Caenorhabditis elegans: one gene and its partner. The protein of the gene in region 1 purifies or fractionates together with the protein of each later gene. This does not show direct contact. Each region holds a gene or a part of one and is shown on either strand. Other genes may lie near its edges.

Region 1 (7,507 bases):
CTAATCCTGAGAAAACTGTGAAAAATTCATGAAAATTCCGCAGCCACAAAAGTTTGAAATTACAGTACTCTTTAAAGGCGAACGCAATTTTTTATTAAAACAAAATTGCTAATTTTCAGTTTTTCGGCACGAATGTGTAATAGGGAACTACTTATTTATAGTTTTTCAATTAAAAAAAAGTAGAAATCGAATATCTTCGTTTTTCGGTTAAAAAAGACGAAAAATCGAAAATTTCCATTTTTCGAGTAGAAAAAAAGAGAGAAATCTGGACTTTTTAGTTTTTCGATTAATAAAAATCGAAAAAAAAAACCGCCACATTTTTGCACCTAGGTTATAGAAAACTACTTACCCAATTTCGTTGCAATTTCTTCTCTAAAAAACTGTCCAATTCCACGTTTTTGATCATCCGTATGTCTAACAATTTGATCAACTAGCCATCCAAAAGTGTATGCATGATAACCAGTCTTTGTTCCAGGAGCCCATTTTGGCTCTTCTTCTTCAATAATTTGCCGCATTTTTTCATGATCCGCGGCGATTTCTTCAGTGATTGGAGTGTCAAACCATGCCATTCCAGACATATGAGAAAGTGCCATATTTATAGTAACATTATCTCTTCCATGAGTTCCAAATCCTGGCCAATACTTGGATACTGGGTCATCATATCTCAATTTTCCTTGCTCGTAGAGCAGTGCAACTGCTAATGACGCGGCAGCTTTTGTAGTCGAGAACGTCACTGTTATTGTGTCCTGAAACAATCAATTTTTTTAAAAATTTTTGTGTTTTGCTGATATGTCACAACTTTTTTCAAAAATGTTTTCTCTGTTTTTGTGCCATTCCATTCAATTTTATAGACTTCAAAAACCGTTTTGAACCGAAAAACTCCCCGTATCAAATTGATATTATTATCAGTTCATATCAATCTGACGACAGTGGAAAAATATATGTCGAAGCTATGAGGGAAACCGACGATAAATTATTCCAAATAAGGGCAAAGTATTAGATTGGGTTAAAGTTTGGAAATTCAGGTGCGAAATTTTGAGTCAAAAATACTGTCTCGACACGACAAGTTTCATGATTTTTTTAATTACTTAATACATTATGGAAACAAAAAAAGCTTACGAAAATAATGAGAAAACTACGATAAATCGATAAAAACTCCGCAACAACAGATGTTAAAAGTTACAGTATTCTTTAAAGGCGCACGTCTTTTCGCATTTATTATAAATGTGTCGTGGTTAAACCTATGGAACCGTATTTTTGTGTGCACCTTTAAACAGTACTGTAATTTTGAACTTATATTGCAGCGGAATTTTTCTTATCGATTTTTCGTAGTTTTTCGATAAAAACAAATTTACTTATTGGAAAAAAAACCAAATCTCGAGGAAAATTATTTTTTAATCGAAAAAAAACCTGGGGAACCGTATTTTTGGTGCAAAAAACCCAAGATTTATAGTAAAAAAGTTTGAAATTGAAAAATGCTTGATTTTATTTTTTTTGTTTTCAAAAATCTACCTCAGCCCACTTCCTTGCCGCCTGCTTATCAGCATATCCACCCCATAAATCGACGACTTTCTTTCCATCAACAAATACAGCGAATGCTGATCCTTCGATTTCCCATCCATTTTCGAAATTCTTTCTGTAAAAATACAAGTTCCAGGATTTTTGCAAGACATTTTCCTTTTCTTTTTTTTAAAATAAAATAAAGATGACGATAGAAAAAGATTATTTGCCTGTACGCATGCCGGCAAAGTAAATATTAATTTCAGTTCAGTCAAACACATTTGTCACTTCACACGGGTAGAAAAATGAGAAAAAAAGAGAGCAGGAAGGTCGAACTTACTTAAAAACCTCTCGAACTTTCTCGAAACGTTCATCGACAAATCCACTAACATCGGATTTGTGATTTGAATATAACCGATCACATACAAAGCGATAAGTTACAGATAATAAAACTGTGGCTAGAAATAGTTTGAAGAGTAGAGAAAACTGTTGCATGTTGGTGGGAACACGGAGCGGCGGGAATGGAGAGACAGAGCACACGGAGATGGGCGGTGCTTGCCTTGCCAGAAACCGTCTTTTCTCCCGGAGGAAGCGACTCCCTGTAGTTATCAGCGATTGCCTTTTTTTTGGCGGCCCTATCGGGTTGTGACGGCGTTTGGGGTGGAATTAGCAAGCCAATGGTTAGGAAGAGACACATTCTAGGGCAAACGGGGGTCGAATTAGAATGCAACCGGTTCCGGGAGGTTTATTTACTCGCATCATCATACGCCAATGAAGTACTTGTGTGTCCAAGATACACTTTAGAACAGTGTAGCCGATTATGCAATTTGATAACAATCAGATGTCCATGTTTCGCAGAAACGTTCATTCTTTTTCAAAAACGATGTATTTGCAATTTGGGACAACAAAACAATGAATGGATTATCATATAACAACAATGAGGTAACGTAACAACAAATTGATAAAAGAAGGATTTAGATGAGAAGCTTCTCAACGTCCTCCTTGATCTTCTGAATTTGAGATTTGAGCTGAGATCCTTCGTTTTGAGTGATTGAAGCAGCGATCACTGGACGAGTGACTCCACAAGCGCGTCCGAGGGCAGCCTTGCTGCGAACAAAGACGTATGGAACGTTCTTGTCTTCGCAGAGAAGTGGAAGATGGAGGAGAATCTCCAGTGGCTCGGCATCGGCGGCCATGACGATGATCTGAAACAATTCAATTAATTTGGTTCGAAAATTGATTTTGAAAATGGGAATGCAATTCAACATGGTTACGATACACTTACCTCAGAGATTCCTCTGTTGAGAGTCTTGGTGGCCTCGTTGGCTCCCTTCTTGAGCTGTTTGTAGTTCATCGCTTGCTGGACGAGATCCATGAGCTTTTGAGACAAGTTGGTATCGGCCAGTGGGAAGGCCTTCGGATTGACTCCATCATCGGCCATTTTTCTTCTTTTCTGAAATAAAGATGGTTGAAAATTGCTACAATGCGAAAGAATTATTTATCGATTCAAGAGAAAAAATAATAAAAACGATTTCAAAGCTGTAAATTCAAATTTTTACGATGATTTGCACTAGTAACATATCTGAAAGTAATAGATAATCAAAATTCCATTTATTTTTAATTTATTGTACCAACTTATTTAATTTCCGAAGAAAAATACAACGGGCAACGGGAGAAACAAAAGAAAAGAGAAAAAAACTACTTGTAATTTTCGAAAAGGGCCCAAAAAGAGACGCAGACAGTGGACGGGTCTCGCAGCGACAAGATGTTGGCACGCTGCCAAACATGCAGTGATTCTTTTTTATTCGAATTTGGCTGCATTTATTTTCGATTTAACCTGAATTTTACATGTTTTATCTGATTTTTATCGATTTTAAACGAAATTTCGATAAAAATCTAACTTTTTCTAATAGTTTATGCCTTTTCGATAGATTTTTACATGTTAATTTTGAAATTACGTCGCCGGTTTAAATTTATTGAACTACATTTTGTTTTTCTATTTTTCAAGACGAAAATTGATTATTTTATTTTCAGGAATGTCGGGGGAGGAGAAAGAAAAAGTAAAAATTCTCCATGTCGCCAACATTTCGACATCGGCTACCAGGGATCACATCTACAACATGTTCAACTATCTCGGAAAAATTCAGGATTTGAAGGTTGGTTTATTATTCCAAATTTACACATTTTTCGATTAAAAATTTCAATTAAAAATTTATTCTTTCAGGTCTATCCATCAGAAGGTAATATCACAGCTAATACTCTCCTGAAAACTGCTTTTATCAAGTTCGACGACGAGCGATGTGTCGAAGTAGCTCAGCATCTCACCAACACAGTCGTCATCGATTGCGCGATAGTCTGCCTACCATATCCGAATCGTGAGTTTTTTGAAAGCTGCATTTTTTCATAAAGTTTCATTTTTTCAGCTGTGATTCCGGACGAGGAGAGTTTTTTCAACAGTGGTGGATCTACAACGGCTGGTCAGCGACAGCTCCCACCTCACGTCACCAATAAAATTCAAGAATCTGACGATGGATCTGCTTTGGTAAGTTTATTTTCCCACTAGTTTTCCAACTAGCGTCTGGTGGTAACGGACGTTACTTGTTCATTTTACAGTTCTACTGGCCACTACCCAAATGACGAATGCAGTAAAATCCCGAAAGCGTAATCCAGAAAATCATCAAAAAACTTTGTTAGTACTCGCCGAATGATTAAATTTTCAGTTTCAGTGTATCCTCGCCAATCTATGCTGCGCATCGTCGGATATGAAAGCAATTAAATTTAGAAATTTTCAAATTCCTGATATTTTAGAAATTGCAATATTTCTAGTTTTCGCGCCGTCTAATTATTCCATTTTTCAGTTGATTACAGTCGATCCGACACTGGAGCAGCTCGGACTACCGGCTTATCCACCTCTACCGGCTGACACGGATTCTGCCAAAGTCGAAGAAATTCGAAGAACAGTCTACGTTGGAAATCTTCCGAAAGGTGTTGATGGAAACGAGGTTCTCGAACTGTTCAACATGTATTTTGGAGAGGTAGGTTAAAAACGATATTTTTGAAAGATTTATTTCTATCAATGTGCATTTATTGGCATTTTCATTCCTCTCTTGCTAGATCGACTTGCAATTGAAATTTGGCTTGACGGGCTTCCAGATCTAGAAAATATCAGTTAGAAATCAAGTTATCAGAAACATAGAAAATTACCTATCCTTGAACTTAAAAATTGTATTATCAATAAGCCATTTCTCGAAGAAAACAAAGCACATTGCTCCATAGTAAAGAAAATTGAACCAAAATGTCATCCACCAAAAGCTGCGCATCATTCCTGTTCCAATAGCCATATCGACATTCTCGATCATCGAACGGCTTCCATAACGAAGTCCGACATATGCGAATCTCAGCATATACACCACCCACGCAAGAGTACATCCGAATTCCATATAGTCTTCGAGCTGTTCCGAAAGTGGTCTCGGCAGAGTAATTTTGTTCCAATCTTTCAATCCTGCCGGAATCAACTCAAACATATCCTGACATATGGTACATTGAATGTTTGATGTTGTACGGACCCATTGCTCCAAGCATCCATTGTGAACGTAGGCGACTGTTCCGCTACAAGAGCATGGCTTGATCAGACTGTCGGAACTCTAGAAATATATTGCTAAATTAGAAATTGAAAAGAAAAATTACCGTATCGTTATCGAAACATATTCTGCAGATTACGGTTTTTGTAGAAACTTCCTTCGGTGACCGAATAGTTTCTAAGTTTCTCTCGATTATTGTGCACATAATTTCAAAACGAGTAGAAAGTTTGCAACCGACAATTTAGAAATGAATTAGAAATTTGAAAAAAATACAACATTTGTATTTAACAAAATTAAATATATTTTCACGTTTCAGGTAATGTACGCCAGAATGGCCTCGGGACCGGATGCATTGCCGTGTGCATATGCTTATGTTGAATTCTCACAGCAAGCGTCAGTGTGCAATGCACTTCAAAACGATGGATTCGAGTTTAAGGAGAGACCATTGAAGTGAGTTTAAAGTTTTAATTTTTTTAAAGGTTAATGGTGATTTTCTCAAATTCAGAAAAAAAAACCATAAAAGAAAAACAAAAAAAAATATTTTGACACAATTTTGGCTAATTTTCCGCCGTTTTTCTTTTATGGTTGTCTGTTTTTTAATTTTTAATTTTTTTAAAAATTAAAAACCCCGTCCACGCGATTCTACCTTTAAAATAAGTCAACTAAATTTTAAAACTTTTAAATCCAATAATTAAAATATTTTTCTTCAGAATTCAACACTCTCGCGTTGCCATCATCAAACCACAAGCCAAAACAGACGAACAAGCTCTTGGAGAAATCGAGGAAGCGATTCGGATGGGTAGAAACGGAGATGATCGGGATCGGCGCCGTTCGCGATCACCACGTCGTCGTCGTTCGCCGTCACCGCGTCGCAGACGGGATAGTCGTGATCGTGACCGTGACAGAGATCGTGACAGAAGGCGAAGTCGCGACCGAAGATCTAGAAGTCGTGATCGTGACCGTGATCGTGACAGGAAGAGAAGCCGTAGCAGAGATCGTAAACGCCGCAGTCGCAGTCGTGACAACAAGGATCGTGATAGGAAACGGTCGAGAAGCAGAGATCGCAGAAGACGTTCCAAATCTCGTGATCGTAAACGTGAAAGGTCTCGTTCAAGATCCAAAGATCGAAAGCGTGACAAGAAGCGCAGTCGAAGCAGATCACCTGAAAAACGACGTGATAAGGAAGATAGAAAAACCGAGAAGAAAGAAAACGAGAATGAATCTTCGCTACGTGAGAAGCTTCTCGAGAAAAAGGCCGCCCGGAAAGACTCTTCTGATGATGAATGGGAGGAAAAGCCAACACCGACTAATGGCGAGGTCAAGAATGAAGAAATTGGAAATGGAGATGTTGTCATGGCATCCGAGTGATCTATTTGTTTTATTGTTTTAAATCTTATCTTGTTTCCTGTTCAGAATCTTGATTAACCGACCACCTTCATTATTTCTGTATTTTAATTGTGAGATATTCACATCTTCCTTCGATCATTGATTTTATTCAAAACACAAATGTCATTATTTATTTCCGTAACGTAAAATGCACAAAAATAAAAATCTTAAATGTTTGCTTCGTATTTAGTAATAATTCCCCGAATAAGTTGAGGTGGAAATCGGCGACGCTCTCTACTAACACACGGAGCACAAAAATTGGCTCCGAAAAACAGTGAACAAGCATCTGACATGCAGACGGGTTGATTGCAAGCAGAGCATGGAGTTCCGAGTACCAGGAAATCGTTGAGACACGGCTTCTTGGCCCGATCACGGGATGGCGGCTTAAATGGATCCCTCATAAAGTAGACCGGAGAATCGTAGCTGAAAAGAATCAGTTTTTATTTAGGAATAAAATTAAAATTCTAATTCTTACCGTCCATCAATAACTTTAAGTTCTCCGAACAATGTTCTCTCTTTTAAATGACACACGTGGCATTCAAAATCGATAAATGGATCAATAAGTTGTGGTTGCTCTTCACTTGTCACTGCAGTGGCATTTTCAGATGTTGAAGGTTGCTGCGGCTCGTTCATTGAAATCTGGATGTAAAAATACTTGATTTTTGCTTTAAAAATTAATTTAGAAAATTCCCAGAGAAATTTATTCATTAATTAATCGACTAAAAATGAAAAAATGTCTTAATTTCGAATTTAAAATTAGTTTCGCAATAGAGCACACTTGCATCTGTAGTGGTACGATCGAAAAATGGGCGGGGTCTCTCTTTCCAGGCCTAGAAATAATTAGATTGACGAAAACAGGTATTTGACGGGTGGATTTTTTAAAAAGATTTCTTTGTAAAATTTTTAATAAGCTTTAAAAATTGGTTGTATATAAAAGATCACAGCACGGGCAAATGTTAAAAAAATTTTTGGAATATTTAACAGAGAAATAGGAGCAAAATGGAATCGTATTCTATTTTTCTCGATTAACGAGCAATTTC
Region 2 (5,969 bases), on another chromosome or scaffold:
TTAAAATCAAAAACAAAAGAGATCTAACTCATAACAAAAAAAACACCGATGAGATTCAATAGATGTTAAGGTAGTCAAATTTACAGAAAAACAGTTTCTAGAATTCAGAAATAAACTTCGATGCAGTCGTCATCTTCTAAGTCAAGCTGTTCACAAGTGATATTCACATCTTTGATACGTTCATTATCGAATACGACCTTCATAGATTCAATTGATGGAATATTCTCCTCTTTATCTTCAACGAATGCATCAATCACTTTCTGAAGAATCTCTTGAATTGTTGTATCCTTAGCTGCTTCAACTTGCACCGGCTTTCTTCGACTTGCAAGCAACACCTTGATTGTGAAAGAGTCAGGCGAATTCTCAATTGTGAACACTTCCGCAGGTTCTCCTGCTTCCTTGCTTGCTTCAATGAGTGGATGTGGTAGTGTCATCGGACGCCAACCCAAGCTTTGTGGTGTCGTGTATGTGTCAATTGTCTTGCCATTGTGACTGAAAACTACACAAGATACAGGGCATCCCCATTTCGTCGCATAAATTCTTCTAATTTCAGAGAACGTCGATTCGAGAAAGATGTCATGACGAGATTTCATATCATTTCCGTGACTTTCACAATCCAGAATAACCACTGTGACGGGAAAGTTTTCAGCAGCAATGCTCTAAAAAATAAGCAAAATTTAAGAAAAAAACAATTTTTCCTCTCACTGATTCATCCGCGTCTGAGTCGTCTTTCACATCTTCAACCTCCGGTTGTGCTCCTGATTTTGCAGCTTCGTCCCAACCTTCACAGATTTTCAACAGTCCACTAATAACATTGTTTTTCTCGACTGGTGCGTGAATAACGGTCTCTCGCTTGTAAATAGATCGACGATAAGCTAAAATATTTGTATGAGCTGTATAAAAAAGTATGATAACACTAACCTTCTTCTACATCATCAATTTCGTGTCTGACTTTTTGGGAGTATGTTTCTTTCTCTACTTCAACGCATTCATCATCATCCGAGTCGTCCGGAAAGAGTTGGGTTTCCCGCGTCTTTTTTCTCATTGGCGATGGACCGCTGGTATCGAAATCGTCGTCTGAGTCGTCGCTCTCACAAACTCGTACCGGTTGTCGCTTCTTTTGGAGAGCAGCTCTTCGATTTCCCAAATAATCGCTGTAGGCATTGTCGTCCGAATCACTCATTCCTAAAAATAAACTAAATTGGAAACGATTATTTATGCTAACATAGATCAAAACGATATCACGATTGAATCTGGAAATATTGAAAGGGAATCATTAATCACTACACAAAAATGAATGCATCTAAAAAACAGCAAAAAGGAGAATGACTTTTTCGGGAAAGACGTTAATGTTGTTTTGAAATGTAATTATTTAAGAAAGAACGCATCGAAACTCAATGATCGACGAGTCGAACAGAGAGGATAAATATAAACACTTTAAAAAACATTGAACAATTTTACGTCTCGGTACATAACTACCTCTGATATTAGGCAGTGAATAAAAGCGAAAAGTTAAGTAGGAACTGATTGGAGTTTTGAAAATAGAAAGTATGTATTTATTGTCTAAACCGTTTAGAATAATAATTGACCTTCGTGATAAGAATAAGAGATCAAAAATCGGTTGATTGGATGAAAAAGTTTAGAAATGCGACGAAACAACAAAAATGTTTGTGTGCGTGCGCTTCAGCACGAAACATGCGCCTTGCACGGAAACTGCGTCAACGAAGAAACGCGCCAGTAACACTGCTTTTGTCCCTCACAAAATTTTAAAGCTAATTTTTCTACCTTATTTCCTGATTTTTCATGTTTGAACAGCTGAAAACTCTTATAATTTGCAAAATATTGTTTTGAAAATTTTTATTGCACGAAATATACACATTTTTCAGATCTCAGACACAATGGTTGCCCAGAATCCAACTTCGATCAGTTCTGGAGGACGCAAGCAACCTCAGAAGCAAGACAAAGTCCAAAAAAAGCAGCTGAAGAAAATTTATGTTGTCAAGATTAAGCGTATTCCGTTTGGATTCTTCGAGAAGGAGTTGCTCGGGTATTTCCGTCAGTTCGGAAATGTGTTGAGAATTCGTGTGGCCAGAAACAGACGCGTAGGTTCAGCAACCTGTTAATATAGTATTAAATCATTATTTTAGACTGGTAATCATAAGGGATGGGCGTACGTTGGATTCGACAACAAGGCTGTTGCTGAAATCGCTGCCGAATCAATGAACGGTTACTTGATGTTCGAGCAACGTCTCGGGTGCACGGTAGGTCAACTTCTACCATTATATCCTTGAAAAACTTATTAAATTTAGGTGATGAAACCAGAACTTATCCCGAAGGCAATGCGCCATGGCCCACTGCTTGTGATGCGTCCATCTTACTTGGGCATCGCTAAAAAAGATACAATTGCCAGAAACAATACCACCGGAAAAAATGACGTCATCAATGCCAAGAAACGCGTGCAAAATCTCAACAAAACTTTGAAGAAGCTGCAGAATATGGGGATCAACTATGATTTCTCTGTGTCTGGAACACCAAGAACGCCACTTAAGAAGGTCATTGACAATGAGGTTCAATTTATCAGTGATGTCACCCCGAAAAGCACGACTCCGAAAATTGTGAAAGCTGCAACTCCAAAAGCAGCTACTCCAAAGGCCGTGACTCCAAAACAAGCAACTCCGAAAGTTTCCACTCCAGTCACCAAAAAGGTTGTCATCAAGACTCCTAAAACTGAAAAGCCGGAACCCAAACAGTTCACTCCAAAAACTCGCGCAGGAAAGAAGGCAGCTGCTGCTGCTACTCCACAGGCTAAATCTACGCTATCCAACGTACGAAAAACTTTAAATAAAATTTGGTTATATTAATTTTCCAGACAATCCTCAAATCCGTCGCTGCAAGTGCCCGTCCAGCTGCTGTCGAAAAGAAAACATTGAGATCTCGTGGAAAGAAGAAGAGCTTGTAAGCGTCCTGATTTCTGTTGTTAATCATTTTATTTTTTTTCCGCAAACTGTTGTTGTTCTTATTTTTATACACATTCATTGTTGATTTTTAATTGAATTGATTTTGTTTTTCATGAATACAAATAATCTATTCAAACTTTTCAAACACTAATTATAAATCGATAGCAACTGGATATTTTCCAGTGAGACATGCGGTGCAATGTCCTGGAGAGAAGTTGGCAGCTCGTTCGATTCCTTTTTGAACAGACTGAAAAAAAATTAAATTGAGGAGAAAGTGAGGTTCAAACTCACCGAAACTAAACCGTCAACCGAAAGATACCGTACTGAATCGGCTCCAACAAATTGGCAGATTTCTGGAATTGTTTTTTCGGCAGCAATCAATTCCTTTGTGGTTGGAATGTTGATTCCCATAAAACATGGGAATTTTACAGGCGGGGAAGCAATTCGTAGATGAACCTTTAAATTTAGAGGTATTATTTGAATAATGCGGTCTTGACACGATCGAAATTTCTAAGATACCGTACTCTACCGTATACTCCAGTTTCTCGTTTTTATGTATTCCGCTATTGTTTTCTTAATATTTGCTGAACATCTAGATGCACAGTTTTACAACAAATATATGTATTGGAAAAATCTGCAAAAACGGAGAATTACTCGCGTTATACGGTAGCTGAAAATTTTTGCTCGTGTCAAGACCTTTTTCACGGTTTATAAGGTGAAAAATCATTATTTTTAACAACAAGGGTAATACCTCTTTTGCTCCAGCATCTCTTAACATTTTTACCAAAGTTCTCATCGTATTTCCACGTACAATTGAATCATCTACTAACACAATCCTTTGTCCATGAATCTTTTTCTTCAATACTCCTGAAATAGAATTCATGAAGTCTTTCTAAATAGTTTTCTTTATTTTACCAAATTTCATTTTAATCGCATTTTGTCTCATCTCATCATTTGGTTCTATAAATGATCTTCCAACATATGAATTTCTGTGTAAAACAGGTTCATATGTGATTCCAGACTGAGAAGCGTATCCAATTGCTGCACTCAGCGAAGAATCTGGAACATTTCCAACAATATCTGCTTCTAGATCATCTTCAAGAGCCATCGTTTTTCCACATTCTTCACGAACAGTTTGTACTTGTTGTCCTTCAATTTCTGAATCATTTCGTGCAAAATAGACATATTCGAATATGCACATAGCCAGAGGAGTATTCGGTTTCATCTGAAATGACTCATATAATTCCAGGTTTCTGATTTTTCAGCATAGCCCATCTGTCTCGATTGTAATTTTGGAAAATACCAAAAATAACCAGAAAGTCTAAAAACTACATGTATTTGCAAAACTTTAAAAACACTTTTTTAAATTTTAATGTCTAACAAAATACATACATGAGAAAATGAGGTCAGAGAAGGCGGTAGGTAGGCGCGTAGGCAGGCCAAGATATATGTAAGTTTACCTGCCACACCGACTTGATTCCTCCTGTCGATAATTCCACAATTTCTCCTGGTCTCACTTCGAAATCTAATTTAGCATTTGCAGGAAATGCACAAGATTCAGAAGATGCAATGAATGCTTCTGGATTTCCATTTTTAGAATATACAGTACCAACACAAAGTGGACGATTTCCAAATGGATCACGAATTGCGTATAGTCTATCAAATGTCATTACTAGTAGAGAATATGACATGTTTAGTGCAGACATTGTTACTGCGAGCTCCTGAAGTTTTTTGGTTTAAGAATTTTCATGTTTTTCAAAAACTCACTCTTGTAATATCACCCATCTCTTGTCCATACTTGCATTTTACATTCAGAGCAATCGCTTTTGCAATCATTTGAGCAATAAGCTCTGAGTCAGTGTCAGTTGATAAACCAACACCTTCATGAAGTACTTCCTTTCTTTTTTGTTTCGCATCAACCAATTCTCCATTATGAGCAATTGCTACAGTACCCATTGCAGTATATACCACAAATGGTTGTACACAATTGATTCCAGACTTCTTCTTTCCTGCAGTTGAATACCTATTATGACCAATTATTATCGATTGCCCATTCATTCTTGAGATATTATCTTCAGTAATCACATCTCGGACAAGTCCATGACCTTTGATAATTTCCACGTGGTCTCGAGTGATTCCATCTGAACCAACGAGTCCTGTTGATTCAGTTCCTCTGCAAAATATACATGATAAGAATTGCAAATTTGCAACTAATTTGTTTTAGTATTTTATTTTTCTATCACGCACGGAAAACAATTTAGAAACTAGACAATATTTGCAAGAAATGCTAGACTTATTCATTTAGCTATTTCGATTTTTTGCAAACTCAAAATCACTGCACAATCTACTTGTTTGCAACAATGTCAACCACTGCAACGCTACAAGCACTTTATTGGTCGTGTGTCCGAGTGGTTAGCGCTGTTTGCTGTGACCCACGAGACGCCAGTTCAATCTCTACATACGCGTCATTTTCATCCAATTGGCAACGTGATTCTAATGTTGGCGATTCAGCGTATTTCTGACGCAAAATTGATAACTTCTCCATTGACGTCTAGTCAGACTAAACTGGCTCGGATACAATTAGGGAGTTTACACTTTTGCCTTCTTGTGGAACGATGGCTTAAGTTAAGCAGAAGCGGAATGAACGGGAAGAGAAAACGAGAGCTTTTTGAAAAATTAGATATTTAGGAATGAGGAGCTGAACAGTTAAAAATTCAAACTGAAACCAATGTAGGAGATGTATGAAATCAAACTTTTTGAGACAGAGCTTATTAAAAATTTAAACTTAAAACCCCACCTGTGTTGAAGAGCAGCCAATCCATTTGCAGCAAGAACATTCAAATGCTCATAATTTCCAGCGGCAACAATCCCAAATATACCACACATTGTTCGGTGTGATCGTCGTCAGAAATCAATTGCCTAATGTGCATGTTATTATCTTTTTCGATGCTCTGAATGTTTGATACGCCAATCATAAAACCTTTACACCCTCCACCTGCTATGTTTTTAAAG

The links. The genes of interacting proteins can lie anywhere in the genome.
Region 2: the proteins of snu-13 (region 1) and nifk-1 fractionate together in Caenorhabditis elegans (co-fractionation; one large-scale study listed by BioGRID). This does not show direct contact.

What each region holds. Positions count from the first base shown.
Region 1 is NC_003280.10:10,655,674-10,663,180, forward strand, and holds snu-13 (Small nuclear ribonucleoprotein associated homolog 13), read right to left. Parts: upstream 2,954-7,507; 5' UTR 2,942-2,953; coding exon 2,786-2,941; intron 2,706-2,785; coding exon 2,475-2,705; 3' UTR 2,354-2,474; downstream 1-2,353. Other genes in the region: lact-3 (Beta-lactamase-related domain-containing protein), read right to left, coding at 350-746, 1,513-1,636, 1,841-1,995; rsp-7 (putative splicing factor, arginine/serine-rich 7), read left to right, coding at 3,537-3,656, 3,725-3,875, 3,924-4,042, 4,359-4,535, 5,398-5,531, 5,792-6,449; marc-2 (RING-CH-type domain-containing protein), read right to left, coding at 4,574-4,655, 4,705-5,144, 5,188-5,286; D2089.8 (Cysteine-rich DPF motif domain-containing protein 1), read right to left, coding at 6,635-6,890, 6,943-7,100. UniProt on the Caenorhabditis elegans protein: Binds to the 5'-stem-loop of U4 snRNA and may play a role in the late stage of spliceosome assembly. The protein undergoes a conformational change upon RNA-binding.
Region 2 is NC_003281.10:4,689,219-4,695,187, reverse strand, and holds nifk-1 (RRM domain-containing protein), read left to right. Parts: upstream 1-1,889; 5' UTR 1,890-1,898; coding exon 1,899-2,102; intron 2,103-2,147; coding exon 2,148-2,261; intron 2,262-2,309; coding exon 2,310-2,825; intron 2,826-2,869; coding exon 2,870-2,959; 3' UTR 2,960-3,090; downstream 3,091-5,969. Other genes in the region: T04A8.8 (Rad60/SUMO-like domain-containing protein), read right to left, coding at 105-659, 706-875, 922-1,183; ppat-1 (Amidophosphoribosyltransferase), read right to left, coding at 3,109-3,204, 3,249-3,413, 3,709-3,824, 3,873-4,182, 4,418-4,678, 4,725-5,130, 5,755-5,843.